2 linked regions of the Anolis sagrei genome follow. The protein of the gene in region 1 binds, or shares a complex with, the protein of each later gene. Links are inferred from orthologs where the notes say so. Each region holds a gene or a part of one and is shown in the gene's direction. Other genes may lie near its edges. The genes, in order: GNAO1 and ADRA2A.

Evidence for each region.
Region 2: the proteins of GNAO1 (region 1) and ADRA2A are in contact, whole or in part, in a cryo-EM structure (PDB 7W6P), measured with the Homo sapiens proteins. The link is inferred for Anolis sagrei from reciprocal best matches to the Homo sapiens genes GNAO1 and ADRA2A. Residues at the interface, in NP_066268.1 of Homo sapiens: Ile28, Lys32, Lys193, Asn194, Leu195, Asp218, Phe336, Thr340, Asp341, Ile343, Ile344, Ala345, Asn347, Leu348, Gly350, Cys351, Gly352, Leu353, Tyr354; in NP_000672.3 of Homo sapiens: Arg77, Arg146, Ser149, Ile150, Ala153, Ile154, Asn157, Leu158, Arg160, Pro162, Ile234, Ala238, Arg241, Arg383, Arg386, Phe387, Val390, Leu391, Phe444, Asn445, His446.

What each region holds. Positions count from the first base shown.
Region 1 is NC_090028.1:7,028,197-7,035,916, reverse strand, and holds the start of GNAO1 (guanine nucleotide-binding protein G(o) subunit alpha), read left to right. Parts: upstream 1-4,530; 5' UTR 4,531-5,218; coding exon 5,219-5,336; intron 5,337-7,720. UniProt on the Homo sapiens protein: Guanine nucleotide-binding proteins (G proteins) function as transducers downstream of G protein-coupled receptors (GPCRs) in numerous signaling cascades.
Region 2 is NC_090023.1:209,258,192-209,266,436, reverse strand, and holds the start of ADRA2A (alpha-2A adrenergic receptor), read left to right. Parts: upstream 1-5,028; 5' UTR 5,029-5,587; coding exon 5,588-6,937; 3' UTR 6,938-7,061; intron 7,062-7,327; 3' UTR 7,328-8,245. UniProt on the Homo sapiens protein: Alpha-2 adrenergic receptors mediate the catecholamine-induced inhibition of adenylate cyclase through the action of G proteins.

The sequences.
Region 1 (7,720 bases):
CGGCATGTCTCATTAAGAGCCACATCTATTGTTTTAGTGTGGTGAGATGTGTTCCACACTGGGCATGCGTACTCAGCAGCAGAATAGCATAGCACAAGGGCAGATGTCTTCACTGTATCTGGTTGTGATCCCCAGGTTGTGCCAGTCAGCTTTCGTATGATATTGTTTCTAGCACCCACTTTTTGTTTGATGTTCAGGCAGTGCTTCTTGTAGGTCAGAACACGGTCCAGGGTGACTCCCAGGTATTTGGGTGCGCTGCAATGCTCCAGTGGGATTCCTTCCCAGGTAATAATCCTCAGAGCTCGGGATGCTTGTCTGTTCTTAAGGTGAAAGGCACATATCTGTGTTTTAGAGGGATTAGGGATCAGTTGGTTTTCCCTGTAATAGGCAGTAAGGGCACCTAGAGCTTCGGAGAGCTTCTGTTCAACCATCTCAAAGCTCCCTGCCTGAGTGGTAATGGCACGATCATCAGCATAGATGAAGCTCTCTGTCCCTTCTGGCAGTGGCTGGTCATTTGTGTAGATGTTGACCATGGATGGAGCAAGCACGTTCCCCTGAGGCAGGCCGTTCTTCTGTTTCCGCCATCTGCTTCTTTGGCCCTGGAATTCAACAAAAAAGCTCATGTTTTGTAGCAGGCTTCCTATGAGGCGGGTGAGGTGGTCGTCCTTTGTGATATTATACATTTTTCTCAGGAGGAGGCGGTGGTTCACAGTATCATAGGCTGCTGACAGGTCTATGAAGACAGCCCTGTGATCTGCTGCCTTTCAAAGCCATCTTCTATGTGCTGAGTCAGGTTCAGCACTTGCGATGTGCAGCTTTTGCCTTTCAGCTTTCTTCTGAATGCGCACAGGCGACTATAGACTATAGAGGCACTCAGCTTGGACTCCAGCAGTTCGTAACAGTCAGAGACCTCCGCTAAGATAGCAAAATTCCAAATTGGATTCCCTTGTGGGGCTGATATTCCGTGCCACCAAGGAAGCCATGCTCTGCTGGGCATATCATCCTGATGACTTATCCAGCTGGAAGACACAAAGAAGCAAGTCTCTTCTCTTCTTTTGATGGGTTTCAGGCACGTTATAAAACCAGACTTTTGACCCATCCTAAGGTTTACTCTTTGCTGATTGCGTTGGCTTTGCTTTGTTGCTCTCTGCTTTTCTTTTGTATTGAATGTATTTTTGATGGCTCTCGGCCAGCTTGAGACTCCTTTTCGGGATTAGAAGGCGGGGAATGAATTTTCTAAATAAATACACAAACTGGAGACTCTGTTCTGTTTGCTTTTCCTCACCAGCAATGGATTGCTAACTTAGGAGTAGAGTATTATTGACCAGATGTTTTGGGTTAGGTTACAACCTCTTTCACACCTGTGTCCAGGTTGGTTCATCGTGTGCTCTGCTATGGCTGACTTCTCTGGTTGAAGTAGTCTGCAGTGCCTTTCATGTTCCTTGATTCGTGTCTGGGCAATGCTGCTGCGTTTGGTGGTCCCTCTGTAGACTTGTCCACAGCTGCATGGTACACGGTAGACTCCTGCAGAGGTGAGAGGATCCCTCCTGTCCAACCTGGACACAGCATTTTATTTGGGAACACAGAAATGCTGGACCACTCTCACAACCACCATGTCAGACTACACAGAGAAGCCATTGAAATCCACAAGCATATGAACAATTTCAACAGAAAGGAGGAAACCATGAAAATGAACAAAATTTGGCTACTAGTATTAAAAAATTCTAAAATTACAACAGCACAACAACAGAGAGGAAACAAACAAGGACATCTAATCACCTCTCAACAAAAGTTTGCTCTTGGCACTATCAGGCCATTATATGCTAATCAAGGTGGTCTGTTGAAACATTCACACCTAGCTCCAGCAGACAAGAGTCCTTTGTCCCACCCTGGTCATTCCACAGATAAATAAACCCCTTTTCCTAGTTCCAACAAACCTCACTACCTCTGAGGATGCTTGCCATAGATGCAGGCAAAATGTCAGGAGAGAATGCCTCTAGACCAGTGGTTCTCAACCTGGGGTCCCCAGATGTTTTTGGCCTACAACTCCCAGAAATCCCAGCCAGTTTACCGGCTGTTAGGATTTCTGGGAGTTGAAGGCTAAAAACACGTGAGGACCCCAGGTTGAGAACCACTGCTCTAGACCATGGCCATATAGCCCGAAAAAACCTACAACAACCCTATAATAATAATAATAATAATAATAATAATAATAATAATATATTATTATTATTATTATTATTATTATATGTTATAATAGAATATATTATAATATTATAATTAAAGATAAAGGTTTCCCCTGACATTAAGTCTAGTCATGTCTGACTCGGGGGGGGGGGGGGGGGGGGGTGCTAATCTCAATTTCTAAGCCAAAGAGCCAGTGTTTTCTGTAGACACCTCCTAGGTCATGTGGCTGGCATGACTGCATGGAGCACCTTTACCTTCCCACAGAAGCGGTACCTACTGATCTACTCACACTTGCATGTTTTCAAACTGCTAGGTTGGCAGATGCTAGGGCTAACAACAGGAGTTCACTCCATCAGCGGAGTCGAACCACCAACCTTCTGGTCAGTAAGTTTTGCAACTTTGTGGTTTAAACCGCTGAGCCACTGCAGCCTCTGTGTTATATTATTATGCATTATAATATTATATTAATATATGTCATTATATTATATTATGTTTTTATAATTGGACCAGTGAGGCAATGGGGGTTTAGAATATATTCTAATATAATATTGTTATTATATTAATATGTTATATTATTATATTATTATTGTTATATAATATTTTTCTTATACTACTATATTATTACATTATTTGTGATAGGACCAATGGGGCAAAGGGGGTTTCGAATATATTATAATTATATTAATATGATATATTATTATTATATTATATTATTATATTATGTTTTTATGATAGGATTAATGAGGCAACAGGGTTTATTATTATATTATAATTATATTAATATATGTTATAATACTATAATTATATTATATTACCATATTTCTATTTATATTACCATATTATGTCTTTATGATAGGATTAATGAGGCAATTGTGTTTATTATTACATTATAATTATATTAATATATGTTATAATATATTATTATATTATATTTTTATGATAGGATTACTGATGCAATGGGATTTATTAATATATCATAATCATATTAATATATGTTATTATATTATATTATATTATATTAATATTATATCTCTATATTATTATACTATGCTTTTATGATAGGACCAATGAGGCAATGGGGTTTACTATTATATTATAATTATATTAATATATGTTATAATATATTATTATATTATATTTTTATGATAGGATGACTGATGCAATGGGATTTATTAATATATCATAATCATATTGATATATGTTATTATATTATTATATTAATATTATATCTTTACATTATTGTACTATGCTTTTATGATAGGATTAATGAGGCAATGGGGTTTATTATTATAATTATATTAATATATGCTTTGATCTTATTCTATTATATCATTATTATATTATATATTATTATATTATATTAATATATGTTATAATATTATTTTATTATATTTTATTATGTTATTATACTGTAATATCCTTGTATTATTATCGTTATATTTGATCTTTATTTTATTAAATAGTATATGTTATAATATTATTATATTATATTATTATACTATTATAATATTATATTATGTTTTTATGATAGGACCAATGAGGCAATGGGGTTTATTATTATATTATAATAATAGTAAAATATGTTATAATATTATTCTATTGTATCATTATTCTATTATATTTTATTTTATTATTCTATTATATTAAAACATGTTATAATATTATAATATTATGTTATTATGTTGTAATAGTATTGTATTATTATCATTATATTTGAGCTTTATTTTATTAAATATTATTATATTATATTATAATATTATAATATTATGTTTTTATGATAGGACCAATGAGGCAATGGGGTTTATTATAATAATTATAATAAAATATGTTATAATATTATTCTATTATATCATTATTATATTATATTATATTATATTTTTATGTTGCAAAGTAAGTAATAGTATTATATTATTATCATTATATTTGATCTTTATTTTATTAAATATTATATGTTATAATATTATTATATTATATTATTATTATATTATTATATTATATTATATTATACTATTATTATATTATATTATATTATATTATATTATATTATATTATATTATATTATATTATAATGTTTTTATGATAGGACCAATGAGGCAATGGGGTTTAGAACCCAGGAACCCAAATCGTGTTGGATCATGAATGATCTTCTGCTTAGAAATGGGTGTTTTCCTTCCCATCCTTTGGCCTCTCTTTCTCTAGATTCCCCCCACCTTTTCCTTTAGGAGTGGGGCGCATGCGCAGGAGACAGGGAGAGCTCTGACGTCATAGAGTCAGCTTCCCCCCCCCCTCTCTCTCTTTCTCTTCCCCCCTCCCCTCCGTTGGAAGGAGCAACGCTAAGCAGGCGGCGCTCTCGCCCTGCCTTTCCTCCCTCCCTCCTTTTTCCCCCTCCCTCCTTTCCTCCCTCCTCTCTGCTTTCTCTCTCCGTCAGGATCGCCTTGGACGATGCCCTCGCTCGCAGCCATCGCCCATTAGAGACCCCCCCAAGTTCGGGGGAGCAGGAGGGGACCCCTTGAGATCCCCCCCACCCAAAGAGAAACCCCAAAAGAAAGGGGGAAAGGAGGAAGAAAGGAAGAAGGAAGAGACTGAAGAAGAATAAGAAAGAGACAACAAAGATAAATCCTTGCAACATTGTGTTGTGTTTGGCTGAGCTGCTCCCGACAATTCCCCGACAATTCCCCGACAATTCCCCGACAATTCCCCGACAATTCGAAGCTGTCACTTGGATGCAACGTTTGGAGTGAAGCAGAGCAAAAAAAAAAGACGCAGAGAGAAGGAAAGGAAGGAATTAAGGAGAGATTGTCTGCCAGGGAAGAAGAGAGAAGAAGGCAAGAAGGGGAGATTGGTTTTCTTTGGTGCACCAGCATCTCCCTGGCTTTGGTCCATCGGTGGTCTTCTCCTTCTCCCTGGCTTTGATTGGAGCTCGCCCTGCCTTTGGAGCAAGGAAAGAAGGGAAGGAAAAAGGGGTCTTTTGTATTCTTGTTGTTGTTTTATAGGGGGGGGATTCGCCCTTTTTGTGTGTGTGCCCACCACCATGGGATGTACCCTCAGCGCGGAGGAGAGAGCCGCCTTGGAAAGGAGCAAAGCGATCGAGAAGAACCTCAAGGAAGATGGCATCACCGCCGCCAAGGATGTCAAGCTCCTCTTGCTGGGTAAGTAGGCAGGCACACAGGCATAGATAGAGATACATGTATGTATGTGTATATGCGGATGTACATAGATACCGCTATGTCTTCTCTTGCTGGGTAAGTAGGCAGGCACACAGGCATAGATAGAGATACATGTATGTATGTGTATATGCGGACGTACATAGATACCGCTATGTCTCCTCTTGCTGGGTAAGGAGGCAGGCACACAGACATAGATAGAGATACATGTATGTATGTGTATATGCGGACGTACATAGATACCGCTATGTCTCTTCTTCTCCAGGTGAGATATGAGCATCCCTCTCTTCCTCAGGTGTGGTCTTCTTCCCCTCTCCCACCTCTCAATTTCTTCTATTTGCCATCACTATCTATCTATCTATCTATCTATCTATCTATCTATCTATCCATTCATCTATCTATCTATCTATCTATCCATCCATCCATCCATCCATCTATCTATTTATCTATTTATCCATCCATCCATCCATCCATCCATCTATTTATCTATCCATCCATTCATCCATCTATCTATTTATCTATCTATCTATCCATCTATCTATCTATCTATCTATTTATCTATCCATCCATCCATCCATCTATCTATCCATCTATCCATCCATCCATCCATCCATCTATCTATTTATCTATCCATCCATTCATCTATCTATCTATCTATTTATCTATCCATTCATCTATCTATCTGTCTATCTATCTATCTATCTATTTATCTATTCATCCATTCATCCATCTATCTATCTATCTATCTATCTATCCATTCATTCATCTCTCTATCTCTCTATCTATCTATCTATCTATCTATTCATCCATCCATCTATCTATATACCTCCCTCTCCCTATATATTATGAAATCCTTCTTCGTTTTGTGCACCCAGGGGCATTGGATATATGTAGATAGATAGGATAGGATAGATAGACAGATGGATAGGATAGGATAGAGAGATAGAATAGAATAGAATAGAATAGAATAGAATAGAATAGATAGACGGATATGATAGATAGGATAGATAGAATAGAATAGATAGATAGGCAGATGGGGATATGATAGATAGAATAGATAGATAGAATAGATAGAATAGATTGATAGATGGATATGATAGATAGGATAGATAGATAGATAGATAGATAGATAGATAGATAGAATAGATAGATAGAATAGATAGATAGACAGACAGATAGATATGATAGAATAGATAGACAGGTGGATATGATAGATAGGATAGATAGATAGAATAGATACATAGAATAGATAGAATATATGGATGGATAGATAGATAGATAGATAGATAGATAGATAGATAGACAGACAGATGGATATGATAGATAGAATAGATACATAGAATAGATTAATAGAATAGATAGCATACATACATACAGAGAGAGAGAGAGAGAGAGAGAGAGAGATTGAGATTGATGGATTATGAAATGCAGCCTTCTTGGCTTTGTACATCCCAGGGCATTCGATTTGTGTAGATAGATAAATAGATAGATAGAGAAGTGTGTGTGTATATATATATTCCCCCTTTCTATATAAGCACTATGGGGCATCTATAGAAAAGGGAAATATATATATATGTGTGTGTGTGTGTGTATTCCCCCTTTCTATATATGCACTATGGGGCATCTATAGAAAAGGGAAATATATGTGTGTGTGTGTATATATATATATATATTTCCCCTTTCTATATATGCACTATGGGGCATATATAGAAAGGGGGATATGTATATATAATTGAATGCATCCTTCTTGGCTTTGTGCACCATGGATCTCATATATATATATATATATATATATATATATATATATATATATATATATAATTTGTACATTATAATAATATAATGTACAATAATATAATATTTAATAATATAATACAATATTAATCCCCCATTTCCATATATATATATATATATAGAGAGAGAGAGAGAGAGAGAGAGAGATAGGGGATTAATATCTATCTATCTATCTATCTATCTATATGAGAAAGAGGGTATTAATATTATATAATATTATTAAATATTATATTATTGTACATTATATTACTAAATGCATTCTTCTTGGCTTTGTGCACTATGAGGCATCTAGGAATATATAGCTATATATCTTTCTCTACACAGATATAGATATTTTGAAATACATCCTTCTTGGTTACCATGAAGCGTATGGGAATATATATGTGTGTGTGTGTGTAATACATATAGAGTGATGTATATTATAATAGGAATAATAATATATATATTTATATCTAAGTTTTGATATAGCTATATATACATACACATATGATGAAATACATCCTCCTTGGCTTTCTGCACCCAGGGGCATTATACACACACACAAACACATATACACATACATATATAGGCATATA
Region 2 (8,245 bases), on another chromosome or scaffold:
CAGGCTCTATCAATGTAGTCCTTGAACTCTGGCGCACAGAATTGCACACAAGACTCCTAATGAGTGAAACAGATTAGAGTGGTGCTATCACTTCCCTTGAATTGGACACAATATTCCAGTTGATACATTCCAAGAACTGCATTGGCTGCATCACAGTATTTATTCATGTTTAGCTTTTGATCTATTATTGTTTGGTCCCTTCAAGCCATTTCTGATTTACAGCTTCCCTCAGGTGAATGTCTCTCAGGGTTGCTTTGGAAAGATTTATTTGGAGAGGTTTTGCTGATGCTTATCTCAGAGCTCGAGAGAGTATGACTTCTCTATCCCCCAATGGGTTCCCATGGCTAAGCAAGGGTTCAAACCTTGTCTCTAGAATTGTAGCCCAATGCTCAAACTAGTACTTCATGCCGGTTCTTCTTTTAATCTGTCCAAATATCTAAATCTTTCTCACATGTCAAGTGTTGCCTGCCCATTCCAGCACTGCTTTATGTGAGTCTTTGTGTAATCTAATGAAGCATAACATCTGAATGGCATAATGAACCATTGCACTATCTAATCCAATTTCATCCTCAACAGAATAGCAAGGCAGAAGCCTCTACACATCAACCATGAGCTGCAGTGGTTTGAGCATTGGAATAAAACCAGGGATCAAATCTGTGCTCAGCCATAGAAACCCACCAGGTGACCTTGGGGAGGTTGCATTCTCTCAGCCTCATGACATACATACACAGAACAGCCCCGAATGAGTGTCCCATATCCAATCTGTTATGTCACGTAAATATGTAATGCACGAATACTGGAATGCTGGAATTCGGGAAACAGGATTTCTGATCCAAAGTAAGTTTACTGCTGGGCACTTCTTAATGTCCAGTTTCCTTCCAGTACCAGATAGTGCAGGTGGCTGAAAGAAAAGAACTAGACCTATCTTGGCACTCACCAACTAAGGAGAGCCAACTAATTCGGAAAAGCACATTTAAGTTCATTGACAATTTACAAAAAGTTAATCAGTGTAATCAGTACTTTTACTACTACTGTTTGCTAGTCTACAAGCAATGCTTTCTCAGTCTTGGTCATCCAAATATTTCAGACTTCAGCTCCCAGAATTCCTGAAGGAGAACTTTTGATTTCCTGTGAGAGGATAGATGGATAACCTCCATAGGATCTCTAATGAAGCAGTGCATCACTGTCAAGAATTAGGACACTTATATATGGTAGCTTATCCAGCAAGAAAAGCCCCAAATAAACAAAGTCTCTCAGAGAAAAAACACCTAATACCTCGAAAGCTGGTGCAAACATTATGAAGTGCTTTGTCAAACTCATGGATTCCTCTTAGACAGTGGTTGCCCTACAACTCCCAGAAATCCCAACCAGTTTACCAGCTGTTAGGATTTCTGGGAGCTGAAGGCCAAAACGTCTGGGCACCTACAAGTTGAGAACTACTGCTCTTAGTCAAAGGATCTCAGCTTTTTCCTTTTCAATTTCTAGAATTCTTTGCCATTGGATGGGGCTTCTGGGAAGTCCAAAGTTTGGAAACTACTGGATAGAGAATAGGAATATAGGATCAGTCACATATGCATGTAATAATGCTAACCTAAACATCATAAAAACAAAAGACAGCACAAGAAACTGAAGCCCATGATTAATTCTGTTTGAGTTTTTAAGCATGCTTTACTTGGGTTCAATTGATCCCTGTGTAAATGTTGGCAGATCCCTGGAGATGGCTGTGTTACACTTGCATTGCCCACAGTTGCATTTGAGAAGTGTTTGAAGTATCTGTATGCTTATTTACACGGGCATCTGCTGTGGCATTTGGTGAGGCAAATGCATAGAGAGATGGTTCTATACAGAGGCAATGCACAACTGCAAGTGATATGACACACAAGTACCTGGATGCAGGGTAGCTTTCACAGCAAACAGATTTCTGTTAGCAGAAGCAACACATGCAAACAGACATATCAAGGACCTGTGTCTGCCAGTGAGCCACAGCTGAGATGTGGCAAGGATTTGGCTTCCAGACCTATGCTCATTTTGGCTGCCCTTCTCTCGGATGTATTCCAGCATGTCAATACCCTTCTTGTCCCAATATGCAGCTTGTCCCAACCTTGGTGCCAGAATCACCAGGTGCCTGTTGAAACCAATGCCAGTTTGCTGTCCATTCTCGAGCTATGAAGCAGCAACGTGTACCCCTTTGCACCTTTTTGTGCTGGCAACTTTGCTGGGATGGGGCATTTATGAAGGAAGGTTAAGGAGGATGTGTGACCTATATTGTGATTGCTGTGGTGAACATAAATAACAAGTTCAGGTAGAGTATTCTTTATCCAAAATTCCCAAATTGTCCACTTCGATGGCTGAGATAGTTACTTCTTTGCTTTCTGATAGTTCAGTGTGCACAACATTTGTCTTATGCATGACAGTATTAGAAAATGTGTTGTTGAAGGTTTTCATGGCCAGAATCATTGGGTTGCTATGAGTTTTCTAGGCTGTGTGGCCATGTTCCAGAAACATTCTCTCCTGACATTTCACCCACATCTATGGCAGGCATCCTCAAAGGTTGTGAAGTCTGTTGGAAACTAGGAAAGTGAGGTTTATATATTTGTGGGATGTCCAGGGCGGGACAAAGAACTCTTGTCTGTTGGAGGCAAGTGTGAATGTTGCAATTGGCCACCTTGAGTAGTATTGAATAACTTTGCAGCTTCAAAGCCTGGCTGGTTGCTGCCTGGGGAAATCCTTTGTTGGGAGGTGTTAGCTGGCTCTGGTTGTTTCATGTCTGGAATTCCCCCTGTTTTCTGAGTGTTGTTCTTTATTTACTCTCCTGATTTTAGAATTTTGTAATACTGGACTATTAATTAGGGCTATTTTTGACCAGTAACTTTCAAATAACTGGAAATGACATTTATCTGGCATCTATCACTCCCTGTGTGTGCTGGTTAACTGCGATGTGTGGGTGTCCATATGTGTATATGTATATGTATGTATATTATATAGCTTAGGTACCTGGTGATGCCTGGACTAAGTATTTGGTGATAAATATAAGAAATCCCGATTGTTTGTTTTTGGATGTTATGAATGGTCCATTTTTTCCCATGACAGGAGCAACTTGAGAAACTGCAAGTTGCTTCTGGTGTGAGAGAATTGGCAGTCTGCAAGAACGTTGCCCAGGGGACACCCGGGTGTTCTTTTTTTTAAAAACTTATTCTTTATTGATTTTAGAAAAATAGAGACATAGATACAAATATATTTACTTGTTCCATTATACAAAAAAAAAACCTAGTACAAAATTCTCACTACCCGGTGAGGACACCCGGGTGGGACACCCGGGTGTTCTGATGTGTCCTTGTGGGAGGCTTCGCTCATGTCTGTGCATGGGGAGCTGGAGCTGGTAAAGGGAGCTAATCTGTACTCTCTCCAGATTCAAACCTCCGACCTGTTGGTATTCAGTCCTGCTGGCACTGGGGTTTAACCCGCCGTGCCACCGGGGGCTCCTATGGTCCTATTAGGAAATGCATAATGATTGTGGGTAAGCTACAACTCCCATCATCATCTATCAATGCTCTCAAACCCTACCAGTACTTAAAGTTGGCCATGTTGGGTATATGTGCTAAGTTTGGTCCAGATCCATAGTTGGTGGGGTTCACAGCACTCTTTGGAGGTAGGTGAACTACCCATGCCCAACATCCTTTCAAGCAACTGGAAACAACATTTACTTCCAGTTCCATTATCAAAATGATGCATGGGCAAACTTCGTCCAAAGGGTTGGAGGAGGATGCTGATGCTGATGATATGGATTTATATTTTTCTTCTTTTTCCCAAAGGAAACGCAAAGGGGTTAGAATAAAAGTACAGGTTTTTTCCTGACATTAAGTCCAGTCTTATCCGACTCTGGGGGTTGGTGCTCATCTCCATTTCTACGCTGAAGAGCCAGTGTTGTCGGTAGACACCCCCAAGGTCATGTGGCCAGAATGACTGCATGGAGCGCCGTTACCTTCCCACCGGAGCAGTACCTATTGAACTACTTACATTTGTATGATTACAAACTGCTAGGTTGGAAGAAGCTGGGGCTAACAGCGGGAGCTCACACCACTCTCCGGATTCGAACCTACGATCTTTCGGTCAGCAAGTTCAGCAGCTCAGCACTTTATCCCACTGCACCACCAGAGTCAAAAGACTATAAAACAATACAATGTGTAAATTAAAACCCAAAGCATACACCAAGCATGGGTCAACATTTGTCAGGAAGTAGCAGCTTGTAATGAAAGGACCAAAGCATTGACATCTCTTGCCCATCCTCTGTTCGGATATCAGCCAGCAACCCAATGCCTTAAATCAAGAAAAAGCTTCCTTAGATTTACAGGGATACTCGCAGGAACACCTCAGCAAGCGAGAGTCCAAAAGTGGCAGATGAAAACCTGGAACTTCAATCAATGGTTGATACCAGATGAGAGATTCCCCTCATGGGCACACAGAAGATTGAGTGACCTGGAAGGTCCTGAACAGGTTGAACTCTGGCACCATGAGATGCAGAGCTAACCTTAAGAAATGGGGCTACAAAGTGGAGTCCACGACATGTGAGTGCGGAGAAGAGCAAAGCATGGACCAACTCCTACAATGCAACCTGAGCCGGCATTGTCCGTAGAGACCTCCAAGGTCATTTGGCCAGCATGACTTCATGGAGCGCTGTTATCTTCCCACCAGAGCAGTACCTATTGATCTACTCACATTTGTATGTTTTCAAACTGCTGGGTTGGCAGAAGCTGGGGCTAACAACAGCTCATGCATGGGTCAACTTGGGCCCTCCAGGTGTTTTGGACTTCAACTCCCACCATTCCTAACAGCCTCAGGCCCTTTCCTTTTCCCCCTCAGCCGCTTAAGCGGCTGAGGGGGAAAAGGAAGGGGCCTGAGGCTGTTAGGAATGGTGGGAGTTGAAGTCCAAAACACTTATAGAGGGGCCAAGTTGACCCATGCCTGATATAGATAGATAGAGATGTGTGCGTGCGTTTGTGGAGGCGAGAGGCAGAGGAGAGCTCCCCCAAAGCAGGCGAAGGGCGCTCCAGGGAAGGAAGGGGAAGCAAGGGAAGGGGGCTGAGGCGCGTGGGGCTGAGGCACGAGGGATCCCCGCGAGTCCGGAGGTCCCTCCGCGAGGCGTGGCGATCCTGGCCGGAGGAGGGGCGGGCGGGGAAGCGGCGTGTCCGTCCCCACGTGGCGCTGACGCCGCGCTTGCTGCTTGCTGCCCGCCGCTGGGTTCCCGCCGATCCCAGACCCGGCGCTATAAAGGCGAGCCTCAGCGCGGAGCAGCAAACACAGGCAAGCGCTCGGGAGAAGCCACAGAGGGAGCGAACCCTCCACACCATCACTCCCACCACCAACAGCAGCAGCAGCAACCTCTCCTCGTCCTTCGTTTGGATCTTGAAGAGCCCCCAGTTGGGTCTCTTCGGGCGAAGGTAACTTGCGGGTGGGAAGATGAGGCGGAGGAAGGAAGGAGGCGGCTGAGAGTCTTCCTCCTTCTTCTTCTCCTCCTTTCGCCAGCCTTCTTTTCTTCCTTCTCTTGCTCCTTCTCCTGCCTTGCCACCCGAGCCCTGCTGCCGGGTTGATGTTCCCAGCGGAGGTCTCGTTGGTGGGGCGCGACGAGGGGGGCTTTTCTGCGGTGGCCTCCCACTTGCGCTCGGGGCATCCTCCCTTGCCCATGGAAGGCAACGGGAGCCTCAACGGGAGCCAGGGCGGGGCGCGGGAGGGGCCCTTCTCCCTCCACGTCACCCTGGCCCTCATCTCCTTGGCCACCCTACTCATGCTGGTCATCGTCTTCGGCAACGTGCTGGTCATCATCGCCATCTTCACCAGCCGGGCCCTCAAGGCCCCCCAGAACCTCTTCCTGGTCTCCCTGGCCTCCGCCGACATCCTGGTGGCCACCTTGGTCATCCCCTTCTCCTTGGCCAACGAAGTCATGGGCCAGTGGTCCTTCGGCAAGGTCTGGTGCGAGATCTACACAGCGTTGGATGTCCTCTTCTGCACCTCCTCCATCGTCCACCTCTGTGCCATCAGCTTGGACCGCTACTGGTCCATCACCCAGGCCATCGAGTACAACCTCAAGCGCACCCCGCGCCGCATCAAGAGCATCATCTTCCTGGTCTGGGTCATCTCGGCTATCATCTCCTTCCCGCCGCTCATCTCAATCATGAAGCAAGGAGAGCCCGAGCCCCTGCCTGGAGAACAAGCTGGCAGTAAGGAGCCCAAGTGCAGCATCAACAAGGAGACTTGGTACATCATCTCCTCCAGCATTGGCTCTTTCTTTGCCCCCTGCCTCATCATGGTCCTGGTCTATGTCCGCATCTACCAGATCGCGAAGAGGAGGACTCGGGTCCCACCTGGCGATAGGCCAGAGGCCGTGGAGAGGCGGCAGAATGGGCTATCCGGCAAGGAGGACGTCACTGCAGCTACCAAGTTGAATGGGGAGAAGGTGGCGGTGGCCGGGGGAAGCCACGACGGGGAAGAGGTCAACGGCATTGACCTGGAGGACACCTCTTCCTCCGAGCACAACGAGACCCGTGAGCCCAAGAAGCAGGAGAAGCCACCCCGGGGCAAGGGTAAGACCAAGCTCAGCCAGATCAAGCCTGGGGACGTCTTGCCCAGCCGGTCCGAGGAGGAGCGCAACGCCAAGGCATCCCGATGGCGGGGCAGGCAGAACCGGGAGAAGCGCTTCACCTTTGTGCTGGCGGTCGTGATTGGGGTTTTTGTCATCTGCTGGTTCCCTTTCTTCTTCACCTACACCTTGACTGCTGTTTGCGAAAGCTGCTTTGTGCCTGAAACCCTCTTCAAGTTCTTCTTCTGGTTTGGGTATTGCAACAGTTCCCTCAACCCTGTCATCTACACCATCTTCAACCATGACTTCAGGAGGGCCTTCAAAAAGATCCTCTGCAGGTTAGACCGAAAAAGGATTGGCTGAGGAGGAGGAGGAATGGACCTCCTGTTCTTTGTTGCCGAGGCCGAGTGTCTTCGAGTGGTTGGATTTTGGAAGTTGGGTGGCATCTCATTTGGTTACTGAGCTTGAACTCTTCAGAGACTTTCAGGTGAGATGAAATGATTACAACATTGGTACACAACCCCTCAGACACTGAGTGGATATGTTTCTCTACCCAGTGATGGATTGGAAGCTCTTATTTATGAGTGTTGTTATAAACCTGACACATTACAAACTGAAAAGGACCAGCTGGGGTGGGCAAGGGGGAAATTATAAGTCATATATTTCAGAAGCACTTTCTTTCTATTTCTTCCCCCCTCTCCCCAAAATGACAGTATTGCATCTTTGAGATCTGTTCCTCTTTAACTTTTGTAGGAGAGATCAGCTTTGCAACTGCTTCCGATCTTTCTTGAAAACGCAATGTGTCTCTGAAAACTTAAAAAAACAAAACAACACACCCCAGTGGACTACCGGAGCCATCTCATCAAGCATTAAAAATAGTATTATAAATACCAAGATTTCCAATGTGCAGTTGGATTTTGGGCTAAACAAAACTGGTAACATAAGCTTGGCAATAGCCAACGTTTTATCGTACTCCCTATATGTATTTTTGTTTTTTCTTAACTTCATGTTTGTGTTGTCATTTAAGCAGTATTGTTCAAAAGCTGTATCTCCCTTTTTTGCCACCTGAAAGAAGGAATGTTATTTTGAAAAATATCCATTCAGCATAGAATCGGCACAGAATCTGTCACAAGGACAAGCTGGTTTCTCATTTGCTATGCTCGAGAGGAATTAGATTCTCCAAAGGTTATGATAAAGTGCTCTGGCTTTCCTCTGATGTATGTCCGATGCTAACGTATCGCTCCGGCCCATGGTTGTAAATAGATAACATTGTATACGATGCCCTTTTGTTTTACTTCACAGTGTTACCAGATTTACACTGATTTTTTTAAACATTTTCTATTTGTGTTGCCTCTCCTGCACAAGAAAACTCCATGCACAAGGACACTTTGTAGTTGCCGTTGAGAAACAATCGCAGAAACATCCGTTTTCCTTCTCCCGGTTTCAGGTTTCATGTATCCAAATCCCTTTTGATTTATTCTAAAGCGAATGTCATGCATAAACGTAAAATGGACATAATAGAATAATTCTAAGACCTCGCAGAACAAGAAAAGAAACTGAATAATTTATGTTCATGATATTTCAGTTTGTTCTCCCCAGTGCTAATAATTCACTCATACTATAGAACAACCTTCTGAAGTGTTGTCGAAGGCTTTCTTTCATGGCTAGAAT